Linked DNA regions of Mytilus edulis. The protein of the gene in region 2 purifies or fractionates together with the protein of the main gene of each other region. This does not show direct contact. Links are inferred from orthologs where the notes say so. Each region holds a gene or a part of one and is shown on either strand. Other genes may lie near its edges.

Region 1 (7,023 bases), on a different chromosome or scaffold from region 2:
AATAAGGATTTTTGAGTGTATGCCATGTGTATTCAATTCAAAATATTTTAGGCACTGGCTACGGTTACATGGAAATGTAACAATAATAAAAATATTATTGTTACATTGGAGACTAAATGCCGGAATTCAAAGTCGGATAAGGAACCGATTAATTACGAATGTAACAATAATTATTGAGGCTACGGTTACATTGCGTTATTGTTACATGAAAAACAGCAATGTACGCTCGATTTATTAAACTTAAATCTTCTATGGTTTAACGGTTGCCTTAATCTTGCATCTGTACGAAATAATACTTGTAATAATGATAAGTAATAAATATTATCGATTAACAAATGGTGTTTAAATTGGTCTTTTTAACGTATAAATGGTCACATTTGGTGTTTTAAAGATACTACTTTAGATAAGTAGTGCCAAAGGCGAAAATATAGTCCAATGATTTGTTGTTGAGAACTCGGGCTGAGAAAAGTGTTCACTTTAGTTTAAGTATTTAACTGCACACCTACTCGTATAACTGTCATTTTACTTTACACAATGGATGAAGAGATTCCTGTGACCAATTTTGTTTTGGGTGAACAATTTAAAACTTGGGATTCGTTTGAAACAAAACTGAAACAATATCAAGACACAAATTTCATTCAGCTATACAAACACAGTTCTAAAAAAAATGATTCATCTATAGCAAAGTTTGCTAACTGTGAAGTAAAATACTGTGAACTTCTGTATACATGTATCCACGGAGGACGTAATGTCGTTTCAAAATCAGATGGAGCTCGTCCAAACCAAAGGTAAGTTAAGTTTAACCTATAAACGAATATCAATGGGTCATTATATTCATGCGAGATTGCGTCGTTGGATTGCCCAAAAGTACGAAGAGAGTCATGCCGTTTCTTAAAAGACGACCAAAGGAAAAAGAAGAAGGTAAATAACTTTTTAAAAAAATGGACAGTTGATATACCCCCAGTTTTTGATAGGGTTCGTGTTTCTTAGTCTGTAGTTTTCCATGTTGTGTTTTTTTTACTTTTATTTGTATGTTTTGCCTTTTTACTTTTTAGCCATGGCGATGTCAGTTTGAATAATGGAAAATAATTCACTATTTATTAGTATTTGATGAACTTTTGACTTTTGACTTGCATTTTTATAATTTATTGTTTTTTTCAGCTATGCTAAGTTGGATACTGAAATCCGAGGTAAACCTTACATCCGTAATGGACGGCAATGTGACCATACTGAAAGATGACATAAAACTACATCACATGTTTCCAACCAAAATATTAGATGAGAATATAAACATTGCTAGAGTGAAAAAGTATTTCTCATCGGAAGCATGGCAAACATGAAAGGTTGCCTTATCATCAAAACGGGATATCGCAGAATGGAACTGTACAGTGTGTGATACGGACGTTCACAGTGCGGCATCACTGGTGTGTGATGGCTGCTTGGAGTGGTTTCACCAAAAATGTGTCGGACTTAGAAATGCTCCAAAAACCACTTACTGGATATGTAGAAAATGTCATTGCAAATAAATAATTAAAGAATTTATATTTAATAATTGTATTTATTAAATGATATGAGCAAATAAGCCCTAATACGGATAAATCAGCATGTGCAATACTAAAAACGTTCCACTGTCGATATAAATCAAGAGTTAATATTGCTCTTCGAACAGGGCCAATACAGAAAAAAGCGGGAAAAAAGTCGTATTAGCCCTAGGGCAATACAGGACGTTCACTTCCGGTTTTCAATTTTCTTACGCCATTACTTTACTCTTGAAGTATCGTTATGCATAAAAACATTTGTATAATAATTTTTAAATTAAAGTCATAAAATAAACAGGTTAAATGATGTGCAATGTTTTGTAATGTCTTAATGTTTTCAAACGGAAAAAACAGGGCAAATACAGAAAAAAGCGGGAAAAAAGCTGTATTGGCCCATGGGCTAATACGGGACGTTCACTTCCGGTTTTTAATTCTCTTATAATCATTTAATAAAAGTGTTATGAACTGGCTGTTTCTGTATTGGCACTGGTATAGATTCTCGGTCAGCTGTATTGGCCCTCGACCCTACAGGTCTCGAGGCCAATACAGCAAACCTTGAATCTATACCAGTGCCAATACAGAAACAGCCAGTTAATAACACTATAGTATTGTAAATATAAAATAAATGTCTTTTTTATTATCTTGTACATTTTAATAGACCCATCGTATATTGCTGTTTTTCGTGTAACAATAACGCAATGTAACCGTAGCCTCAGTAATTATTGTTACATTCGTAATTAATCGGTTCCTTACCCGACTTTGCGTTTCGGCATTTAGTCTCCAATGTAACAATAATATTATTATTATTGTTACATTTCCATGTAACCGTAGCCAGTGCCAATATTTTATTGTTCAAATATCAAATGTACATTTAAACAAAGGGATTGGACAAAAGGCAGTGCCTATACAAATCCTTTCCCATACAAGATGGATTGAATAACATGCATGATAGTATATAATTTTCTGATAAGTTAATAGATCATACCATGTGTATGCTGAGGTCATCATTCGAAAAGGCCTCAGGTATTAAAGATTGACATGTCATTGGTATTATTAAATTAATAATTAAATGAGCTACCTTTGTTATATCAAGCTTTATTGTTATTATTATATGGTTATGGACATTATACTTTGGGAACGCCAGTTAATAACTTTCTTTTTTTAATGCTACCTCTGAAAGAAAGTATACCATACGACCCCCCTTTTTTTTTATTAACAAATCATTTATCAATCTTTTCAAGGTTGAAATGCGCCTTTTGGTTGATGTTTTCTATTACAAATAAAATTTCAATTCAAGCATATTAAGGTTGTGACAAAAATACTATATTGTAAAGGTGTTTTACCATGATTGTTGTTCAAAATATTCCCTCGGCTGAAAGCTTCACTGGGCCTCGTGGTAATGTTTTCGTTTGTGCCTCGTGTTAAAAACCGGATGTTGATTTAACAATCGACGTATTTAAAGGGTTTATTGTTACGGACTTAAAATAAATATACAAACATTTTAAAGACGTCGATTATCTCGCACGTGTTAGCAGACGACAAGTTTTGTAGCAGAAAGAGCAAGTTGGTAACTGGCGTGCAGAAGAACTATGTAAGAAAGTTTATGACTGTTCTAGTTTTCCCATACTTCAAGGTTTTTGTAAATCTGAATAGTTGAGAGCTAAGCATCAACTTCATGAATAACCTTTTTTTAACCTAGTTTATATATTATTAAACACTGTGCTTGTCAAGTTGTTGTATTCTTCTACTTGTCTTAATAAATATTTTTTATAACATTGACATTGTGTCTTAATCATATAATTGAATCACTTGTGTAATCATTTGTATGTAATTAATGTTGATTGTTCTGCTCCTTGTGGGTGCTTTGATTAGCAATGAAATATATTTGACAGTGGCGGATCCAGAACTTGACCTAAGGGGGGCCCGCTAACTGACCTAAAAGGGGGGTGGCGATCCAGTCATGCTTCAGTGATTACCTATATAATCAACCAAATTTTTTCCACGAAAAGGGAGGGGGGGTGTGTGTTCCAACCACATGTCCTAATTCAAATGCATTGATCGTCCAAAAAAAAGGGGGGTTCCAACCCTCAACACACACCCTCGATCTGCCACTGCTTTGCATTGGCAAAAGCCAATTTTGTCTAGTATAGAACCATTCTACGATTGACAAAGGGAAGTAATTTTTGTGATTTGAGGCTATAGAATTTGTTTTGTTTGATAAATAAACATTAAAAATTTAAACAACACTAATTACAATGTTTTATATGAATTATCTCCCTTACATTGCTTTTAGATTATGTCTTACTTGATTTATTTCACTTGACTGGGCGGAGTTAAAACGGTGCGTTCATCATTGACCAGTCCATCTACTGATAGGTGTTTTGGAATAAACTCATCAATGAAGTGTCCAGTTTGGTCATTGTTAATTTGTTTGGTGACACTGATAGTGATTAGAAATCAATGATAATTATAACGCTGTAATTATTGAAGAGATTTTGAAAAAATCGAGATTTTTTTTTATAGAGAAAATCATGCAGCAGGAAGACCAGGTTGTTGAAGAAGAATTAGTTGTGAATGAAGATGATGAAGAGGTATGGCTCCTTGCATTGAGTAACAACTCTTTGAAATTAGTTTAACCATATTATTTACTCTCTCTGCAAACTCTAGTCCAGTCTCTTTATTTATTTTTATTGGAATAACAATAAACAAATATTAAAATATAATTTATGAGTTTTCCCTTGGAAAAAATGTGTTGGCTGCTACCGTACCTACATTTGTACAAATGATTTACATTTAAAATGTTTTGGTATAAGAAATTCCTAGTGTCACAATTGCTTGTGTCAAAAAATGAAATAGCAGGTGCACCACTTTAATTGTGGAGAATTTGTGCAAGTATAGTAGAAGTCTATTAATCTGTTTTCAAGGACATATTAACATAAAATGAGATGCAAATGATGACAAGGCAACGCTCACTCAGCTGATAGATGTGATCAGTATTTTTCACCTATAGACCTACAGTGATGTTACATTTATACATATTTGTTCTTATATATATAAGGAGTGCACTCTAATGGTTGAGCTGAAAATGTAGAGAAAATTCAAATCAACAGTACAGGTTATAACATGCCAGAAGACAGTTTCAATTAATATTATGTTCTTCAGCTTCCTATTTCTTTTAGAATGATAGCTAGTACGTCCCAGTTGAGGGGAGTGTTTATGTCGTTAATCATTTACTATTTCAGGAATCACTTTTCCAGGACATAGATCTTCTGCAGAATCATGGAATTGTAAGTCTTAACTGATATAAGTCATTTAATATAGAATAGTTGATATATATTATAGCTAGCACCATTTATCAAGGTTATAGTGCTTAAAAGGGGGATGGGCATCTTAATTGTTAACAACAGCTATAATCCAAATACTGTTAATTCAGGATGTTCCCAGTTGGAAAATGTATAGAAAAGTTTAAAGTTGCGTTTGTACAAGAACAATAATGTGTACTCTATTACAATATCAGAAATTTTATATGATTTTACATTCATCCTATAGTCAAAACATATTTAGATGGTCTCCAAACTAGTTTTGCTACTCTGAATTTCAAGAAGAGGTAATTTTTCTTATCTAGGTTCAAACTACATCTCAGTCTTTTTCTCTGACATGTGTACAAGTATTTTGTAATCACAAAAGACGATTGAGGTAGAAAGATTTTACTGCTGAGCACAGTTCAATGTTTGAAATGGATGTAAACAGTATAGGTGCCTTAGAAAATATGTTAGATTTTATATGGAGTTTTTTTTTTTATTATTCTCTGCTTTAGTAAAACAGATGAAGGAATGGAACCAATATATTCCAAACCTTTTTTCAATGTGAATTGTTAGAAAGGAAATTGGGGTATGCGTCAAAGAGACATCAACTCGCCCAAATTGCAAACCACAGCCCACAACCAACAATGGGTCTTCAAAGCAGCAAGGAAATCCCATCCAAACTTTGTGTCATTTATATTTGCATCATTTAATTATTTTTTTAATTTATAGAATGTAGCTGACATAAAGAAACTGAAGCAAGTGGGAATATGTACCATAAAGGCAAGTATTGTATAAACTTTAAGTACTACTTCGTTATTTATTATCAAATCTCAAACAATAGCAAGTGCATTATATTGTACCTTTTATCTCTTCATACTTTTTTGAAATTTTAACCATTAAATATGCAAAATTGTATTATTACAGGGAATCCAAATGACCACAAAGAAAAGACTTTGTGCTGTAAAAGGAATTTCTGAAGCAAAAATGGAAAAAATCAAAGAAGCTGCAAATAAGCTCTGTGTATGTATTAACCTACTGTCATCATCCTAATATATTTTCCCAAACTAGTTCTCCCTGTTTTAAGAATAAAATATATATAAGTAGGGAACATAGTTACACCAGAAAAAGATTAAAGTCTGGCATTAATTTTCAAAGGAGTGAGTTGGTCCAGTTGAAAAAGTCAAAAATTAGTATTTCAAAGTCAAACAGTTTAATGATGAATGAGGAGAATTTTATTATTTTTTTTTTAATTTCAGTAGCAGATGCCTCATTTCATTCTTGTATTTCCAGGATCCAGGTTTTTTGACAGCTTTAGAGTATTCAGATAAAAGAAAAGCTGTCTTCAGAATAACGACTGGAAGCATAGAATTAGAGTAATTAGTTTTTTAGTTATACTAACATTGTTTATTTTTATACCATTATGTGTACAGCAAAGTAAAATCTTTTATATTTCTATACATTATACAAAACTGAGATTAGAAGTTGATTAAAGAATTGTTTGCACATGTTGCATGGATCTTTAATTTTGAGAAAATATCAGGTGGGTCCCTACAAATCAAAAGAATATCTAGCCTGCAGTCTTCACCCTGAGTGGCAGCCCAGGCTAGTAAAATTGCTCTCGGGCCTGTAAAAATCATATCTACAGGCCGCCAACAGAATCTAACTAAAAAAATTGGAAAATTGAGCTCTGGGCATGTAGATTTAACAGTTCATCATGAAGACTCTCTAGGGTCACAATTATTTATAAAAGTTTTACAAATTTTCACTTCTGACAATATATGTGATTTAGGAATTAATTATTTCATAACAAACCTCTGCATAGATGTTTAGGCCAAATAAAAAAATAAGAGTTTACCTTTTTCCCTACCTACGGGGTAGTACCCTATATTTTAAGCTTAGAAATAGCCTACCTTAAAGTTTTTTTGGTCATTTTCCAATAATCATTGTTTATAATGTAAGAATTTTTCTCCCATAGACTCAATGTAAAAAAATGTAAAATAAAAAAATCCCTATCTACCTACCTACCCTTTTTTTTTCAAAGATAATATAGGAAACGCACATATTATTTTATTTGGCCTTGTACAAGAGCAAACAAAATATCAATGTTCTATTAAAAAAAAAGATTGCAATGGATGTAATAAAAAAAGATGTTATCGACAATTACAATAGAAAATTAAATC
Region 2 (7,937 bases):
GGTTTTTCAAATGAGTGCTGACTTGTACTTTAATTTATCATGCATAATTTTACATGATGCATGATAAACAATTGAAGTACAAGCATTAGTTCCATGATGGTAAATTGAAATACATGAAATTCCAGTAGACGTTGTTGTTTCTATCCGTAAATGTATATGACAGAATATATAAATCTTTAGATAATAAGTTAACTACATGTACTAACATGCCAATGCTTCTGTTGTGTCATTAAATTTCTTGAAGTGTTTCAGCTTCAATCTGAAATTTAAGAAAAATATATTTAGATGATCTTCCCTCCTATGCATTCCCTTCAAAATACATTTTTTTTCTTACACATTAGTCATGACAATAACAAGGTCGAAGACGACAAATTTATCTAAAAATGCATATGTATGAAAAATAAAAGATTATTTCAAATTGATCTAAATGGCCTACTTCGATTCGTCCAACTCGGGATGACTTGAGTTAAAAGACAAGTGCTAATGCGCATGTGAGCAACCTTTACCAATTGAAGTCAAAACTCTTCCATCGAGTAAAGGATGGGAAAAATTCTTTTTAACTGAGTATTAAAATAACAAAAAAACACAACGTTATGTTTCAGGAAAAGAGTTCTAATCCTGTGTGCTTTTGCAAAATAGATTTGTTAGTGCGTTAAAAACGGTTGAGAAAAAAATTGTTTAGAAAAAATCATCAATTTCTGTTGATGTATAACATTACCGACAGTTGATAAACAAATTAAAATTATTTGTGGATTCCAAAATAGCAGCAATAATAAATTCGCCACATCAGCCTTATTCTTCGGCTGTATTTTGTCAAATACCAGTTTATTAGTATCACTTTTATTTGTTGCAACAAATTGACGCCATCTTGAAACTCGACTAAACCTGCCCCGCCCCAGGGTTGATGTCGAGTTAACTCGGGTAGGTTCAAAAAATCAAACTCAGGGTGTTCGGTTGTCAGTCGAGTAAACTCAATGGACTCTATTAACCCGAGTTGGACGAATCGAAGTAGGCCATTGAGAATTTTAACTGAGGAAAATTTCAAATTAAAAAGTTATAAGTATGAGGAATAACTTGGATTTAATTCATTTACTACCTAAATACCCGACAATTTCTTTGAAAAAAATCATGACCATTTCTTACGTTTTAAAATGCAAATGTAGTTTTATTGTTGTCTTTTTTCAAAACTACCTCAACTGTTGTCTGAGGGAAAAACTACATAATTTTTTTTTTTTTTTTTAAATAAATATGGTTTGAATTTAAAAGCACAACTCTGACTTTTTGCTGACCCCTTTGCTGCCTTTTTTTCACATATATTTTGATTGTCAGACATTTTCAATACTTTTTGATAAAGGGATTGGAAGAAACTGAAACAATGAAGGTTCTTTCTGCATTTAAAACCACATGTGTTACAAACACTGTGATGATTCTAATCAGAAACCTAGATCTCAAAAGTGCTTTCATAATATCAAAATAAAAAAATTAATGCAAAATTAACATACAATACAACCACTGTTTAGGAAAAATGTAAAGCTTATTGAGCATGTTAAGAGGAATTTTATGCTATTTTTTTTAGTAATTGGTAATTTTCTGTGTATTTATTAAATAATTTGTGTTTAGGTATTCCTGAAAAAAAATGTCAGGCTTTTTTATTCAGTTGTCAAAATCTAGAAAAAATGGGAAAAAAACAGAGTCCATTTCTCGGATTATAAATGCTTCTACCGGAAATTCACCGTCTCCTTTATCTTTTGATTCAAAAGTAAATAGACAGTCACATTAAGTTTTTAGTTGATTTTGTTCCATTCTGTTTAGAAATTTTTGCATACTTAGACATAGCTGCGGAACCGTAGCTCTTAGGTCCTTATGTTATTTTTTGACTATTTGCGGACCATAGATCCGCAAATATTCAAAAAATAACATAAGGACCTAAGAGCTACGGTTCCGCAGCTAACTTAGACATAGTGGATATTTCTAATCTAAATAAGAAATGCAAAACAAAAATTCATAGCGTTTGGAGAGTTTAAACTAGGGTAAGTGAGATAACTGAAGTCTAAAACCACACATACATATACATTTTAATTTGCCTTGGAGAAAAATTTAATGTGTTCTTGGTGTTTGCATGGTTTGATTATAATTCTGTGGTGAAAACATTTAATTCAATTTCTTAATCATATTTCTTACAGCTTTGTTGCCTTTTCTGGAGTCTCAAATTCTTTGAATAAGTTTTCTGTTTCTCTCAGCTTTTTCTCATCTTGAAGCTAAAATTAGTACACATAAAAACATCACAACAAGTTCTCTGTTAAACATGTATGCAGTAGTATGATTTACTTTTTTAAAGATGGTTACTGTAAATCTAAACAAGTCGGGAGACCAGGAGCTGGAGCCAAACTTTATGTTTCAAGATAAATTGAAAAATGGGGGGAGTCCAAAAAACCTCACAAAACCATAAGCTGCCGACTATATATAAGTTAGGAATTAAGTGAAAATTATAACTGCCACAATCCATACTTGATACAGGTATTTATCTTATAAAATGATTGTGCCTGGAGCCAGTGGATGCTATGAGCAAATAATTTGCGTCCATGTGTCAACATACAATAGCATTTTTATGTCAAATCGTCCAGAAAAAAACTTTCAATTGATGTCAATCTGAAAAGATGAAAGTTTTATTTCATTTTAAGCAAACAACAGCTTTTTTTCCCACTGCAATGCAGAAACACGTGTATATTTTTTTGCATGCAGACCAGACCACGTGGTGAATTTTGCATGTTTCACTGGAGCCAAATAGAGAGTAAATTAATTTGCAGATTGTTGACATCGCATTATTATTAAGACCCTCGTAAAATATTTACCTTAAAAACTGCATATCCAGCTGCAGTTTCAAATAAAACCAACATTTTGCAGATATCAACAACACTGCTTCAAACCACGAGGTTCCCTACAAATACGATTAATACAAATTACGAAGGAAACATTGAAGAAACGAATTTAGATGGCATTTAAATGGTCGAGGCTATTATAACGTAGAGTGCGGTATCAGTTCTTGGTCAGATGAAACAGAAAGCAGGTTTTAAGTCGGAATATAATAAATTCATTAAAAGTGAATGATAAGTTTTCTTTTAAAAACTAAAATATTATAAAGACTCAAAGATATCAGCTAGGGTTATAAATATAATCAAAAAAATTTAATATACATGTACATGTATGCTTATTAACCGTTCCACAAATGATATCGGATATGTTCCTTACGTCGTAACTACAATCCCCTTCCCTTTCATGAATGTGACCTACCGAATTATACTATTTACTGGATTTGTTATCACATAAGTAACACGACGGGTGTCACATGTGGAGCAGAATCTGCTTACCCTTCCGGAGCACCTGAGATCACCCCTAGTTTTTGGTGGGGTTCGTGTTGCTTATTCTTTAGTTTTCTATGTTATGTCATGTGTAGTATTGTTTGTCTGTTTGTCTTTTTCATTTTTAGCCATGACGTTGTCAGTTTATTTTCGATTTATGAGTTTGACTGTCCCTCTGGTATCTTTCGTCCCTTATTAAAATACAAAATTCACGTTCCGTCTACACTGAGATTACTATGTAAAACATAAAGTATAACAAATAGCCTAAAATAAAGAATACAATATAGAGTCAATGCCCTTATCACGACCAGAATATTGCCTTAATTTGTGTTTTATTGATCAACAGTATTCAACCATGCAACATCCGTGTATGCCGACCATAGCGCTGCGGCATCCTGTATGTAGTGTAATACTACAAAGGAGATGTGGTGTGATTGCCAATGATTCAAATATCAACCCTCGAACCACTGAACTACTGACAAATGGCAACCACGGAGCTACAGATTCCTGACTACAGGCAATCACATTTTGACCCTGCTTTAAAATTAAACAATTGTCATCGTTTAGTTCTTTGTTAGATGTCACCCTTTAAACAGTACGCTTTAGTACATGTTTTATTATTCAACATAGAAGGGGCCTCGGTGGCCGAGTGAATTTTTATTGTACATAATCAGGGCCGTAACTAGGGTTCGAATTCAGGGGAGGCAGGGGTTTGGGGACCGCCGATTGAGCCCCCTTTGATAGGGGTAGGGGCGCAGCCCCCCGCCGATCTTTTTCTCTCAGTCATTGGCTAAAAATTACCCGTTTCCCTTCGATTTCCTTACTTTAAGAAACATCAGTATTGCTTGAACCTGGAAGCAACTTGTATGCAAAAACAAGCTGAGATTGCTGTTTGGGTTGAGCCAAGGCTAGCTCCGTCTTGAAGGCTGTACTTTGACCTATAATTGTTAACATTAGTAAATACATTGTGACCGTGGATTTTTTTCTCAAATGATATGGCAAAAATTACCCGTTTTCCTTCGATTTCCTTACTTTAAGAAAGATCAGTTTTGCTGGATCCCTGGAGCAATTTTCATGCAAACAATTATTATCTGTATTTTCTGTATTTGAAGATATATTTTTAGAAACTGGAAAAGTTCAAAAAACATATAAGCAAGATTATAAAACACAAGATATTTTTTTTTATCGAGGATCTTGAATTTCAATATTGTTGAAAGCTGAACAGACATGTATATAACATAAAACAGGGACTTTCTATACTAGTCTAGTATATACTTAGTATAGAAAGTCCCTGCTACAACGAATGGGAGTGTTTACCTACTAATTAAGGCATTGACCATAATGTTCTCGTACGATCGGGAAACTTAAAAAAAGGATCCAACAGCTGATTCAGCCGGTAACGAATTTCCGATATCTTAAGAGATTCACAATACAAAAGGAACTTCCTCTGCTTAAATAATTGAGCCCCAAAATAAATGTGAATAGTTAAGTTTTTATTCAAAATTATCGAAAGCAAAGTTTCATATGTGTTCTCATACGAATACTGACCCCCTCAATTCCGAATAACAGACGGACGGCCACACGAAAAAATAATAAAACAAATACTGAAACGGTTTTACTTTCGATCAAAAATCCGAAAAATGACAGACATATCACGTATCATGATAACACTGTTAAAACTGTTAACTTGTGTTGTTTATAATATAAATTCAAGTTCTTCGTATTCATATTGTCAATATTTTATATTTTTACTTCAAAAAAAAAATGTTGGTGTAGAAAATTCAGGGCAAACTGCCTCCCCTGCCTCATAGGTAGTTACGGCCCTGATAATTTGAATAAAATTTAATCAAGAGAAAAAGCAGTTACTACTGTAATCACTAGCCAGTCAACACTGAGGTTGTGAGTTCGAACCCCGCTCGTTCGGGTGCATTCGACTCCAATCTTAATTGACTAGGATTGTCAGTTATCCTATCAATCGGATGGTTTTCTCCGCACACTCCGGCTTCCTCCACCAAAAAAACCTTGCCGCCATGATATAGCCCAAAAGCGGTGTTTAAAAGTGGCGTTAAAACACCAAAAATTAAATCAAATTATTCGATAGACAATATTTAGACAAGACAATATTTATTAGCACAAACACCTTTACATTAAATGGTTATGGCATACAAAATTAAGACAATAAACTGACAATAGTTAAATTGATTATAATCATATTAAAGTGACAGTGGTATTCACAGTGAAGAAAAAAAGGCTATAAATATCAACAGTTAACACATTATTAATGTTCATGAACAATCAAAGAAAGAACCCTAACAAAAATTAGGTTGCATATTAAAAGAAATACAAGTTGTACAGATGTTCTCAATAAAAAGAACAATCATTAATATACTTTATGGTGATTTTAATAATGACTGGTAGACTGCTATTTAAAAGTGCAGTCAAATGCTTCAGTGTTATAGCGGACTGCATTTTAATAAAATTGAAATTAATAGATTTTTATTAATATTTTGTATATAGGTATCCCTCAATGATGTATAGTATGGACAGATTGAGAAGAAATGGTATTCATCCTCAATTTCTTGACTGTTACAGGATAAGCAAATGCGTTTACTTCTATCAATGTTGGTATAACGCCCTCTTTCAATTGCTAGGGAATGGACACTTAGTTTAAATTTACTGACATATGGGGGCCATTTTCTAATTCTTTTAGTATGACAAAAGAAATTTATTTTTTCACATTTATTGATATCTAACAATTCATAATTTGAAAAGCCTGGTCAAAGATTCTTTGTTGGATAGTATTTATGTGATATTTTAAATTAATATTATAGATTCTTTGTTGGATAGTATTTATGTGATATTTTAAATTAATATTATAGTATCTAAAGTGAGATGACCAAAACCTAATTTATTTAACCATGCAGTCTTTTACAATGTTAACCCATTTACTTGTTTTCTCTACATTATTATATATTTTATGGACTAAAGTGTTAGGCGAGTTCACAATGTGGTTTAGAAATTTTATAGCTGAAAGCTGAATTTTAAAGTACAAAGGGGTTCTGTTTGTCTCAGCTAAACAGGCTACATTTGTTGTTTTGCACTGTACTCCTAAAATTTCTTTAATAAATTTAATATGTAAATGTTCAAATGGATCTGAATCTTTGAACACCTGGGCTGCGTGAAATATCGTAGCAGCTACGTAGTGTGTAGATTTTCACTATTGAACGTGAAGCTATATAATAGTTGTTACATAAATATTGATAGCAGCTATACATAGCCGCTACGTAGCTGCTACGATATTGAACTCAACCCTGGCTTACACCCCAAACTTCACTTCCGTAAAGACTTATAGGAACAACTAAAGTATCAAATAATTTTCCAAGCATACTGCAGAAATTATCTAAAGAGACTGTTTATTTTAATTTTTAACCAAGCCTTTCTTCCCTTTTCAATAAGAATTTTTTTGAACGACTTAAACTTCATGAACAATTCATAGTTATTCCAAGGTAACAATAAGATTTAAAAGTCTCAAGATGTTCGTTTTCTACTTTAAAATAATTACAATGAGATTTTCCATTAGAATTGAATATTATAATTTTTGATTTTTGTTTGTTTACATCAAGTTTCCATAGGGAACAAATTTAGCCCTTCTTGGGTTTCGGACAATAGAATAATGTCATCAGAATATAATAATGATGTTAGTTTAACATCTCCTATAAAAATTGGTTGAGTGTTTGCATGATCTAGGTCATTTACAAGGCCATTTATATAAAGATTAAATAAAGTGGGGCCAAGTACATCTCCTTGTTTTCAGTACTCCGCAATTTGATATAAATGCATGGCTAATACCATTTTGAAATTTAATTCTGCATTTATTTTCATTATACATTGATTGGATGACATTAAAAAGCTTGCCTGGAAGTCTGTTTTGAAGTAGGATGTAGAATAAACCCTCCCGGCTCCAGACAGTATATCAAAGGCCTTTCGCAGATCTATGAATACTGCAAAAACTTTTTTTTTTAGTCTTATATTTATCTACGATTGACTTTAATGAGAAGATATGATCTGCTGTTCTAGCAGAGTCATAGACGGACTCAGAAAAACATTAATCTCTGATGCATGATTTTTTATTATTAATTGTTTTTGGCTTTTAACTAGCTGCCACTAACTGTGAGTACTCTCAAATCGTATTTTCTTGTTAATTCGACCTGTTGTTATTTTTTTATAATGCGTTTTTGTTAGTTTATATTAATATGGATCTTGTCTATATACCAGCTTTGATTATTTGGAATATCTTCTAATTTTCACTTCTTCGTACTACATTTGACAATGTATGAACTTCAAGATTATTCTGCTTAAATCTGTACAGGGAAGTTTTAGCTAGCTCTAATTGTATAGATTTATTGTTGATATTCACCCCAATTTGTATCTAGTGTTAAATTATGTATTTATATGACAGAACTTTCTTGGTATTCCTAATTATTGGAAGAATTGTATACACATAGTAGTATAAACCTAAAACGAGAAAAGTTATTTTTCATTTACCTGTATATGTCATTAAAACCGGTGTTTTCAAAA

The links. Proteins that work in one complex are often made in the same cells at the same time.
Region 1: the proteins of nucleolar protein 58-like (region 2) and NHP2-like protein 1 fractionate together in Homo sapiens (co-fractionation; 3 studies listed by BioGRID and IntAct, with this or other methods). This does not show direct contact. The link is inferred for Mytilus edulis from reciprocal best matches to the Homo sapiens genes NOP58 and SNU13.

Annotation. Positions count from the first base shown.
Region 1 is NC_092352.1:86,754,309-86,761,331, reverse strand, and holds the start of NHP2-like protein 1, read right to left. Parts: upstream 3,001-7,023; 5' UTR 2,885-3,000; coding exon 2,882-2,884; intron 1-2,881. Other genes in the region: meiotic recombination protein DMC1/LIM15 homolog, read left to right, coding at 4,070-4,129, 4,781-4,825, 5,573-5,623, 5,768-5,863, 6,134-6,216.
Region 2 is NC_092357.1:55,774,499-55,782,435, forward strand, and holds the start of nucleolar protein 58-like, read right to left. Parts: upstream 3,011-7,937; 5' UTR 2,898-3,010; coding exon 2,853-2,897; intron 2,259-2,852; coding exon 2,182-2,258; intron 260-2,181; coding exon 207-259; intron 1-206. UniProt on the Homo sapiens protein: Required for the biogenesis of box C/D snoRNAs such as U3, U8 and U14 snoRNAs. Part of the small subunit (SSU) processome, first precursor of the small eukaryotic ribosomal subunit.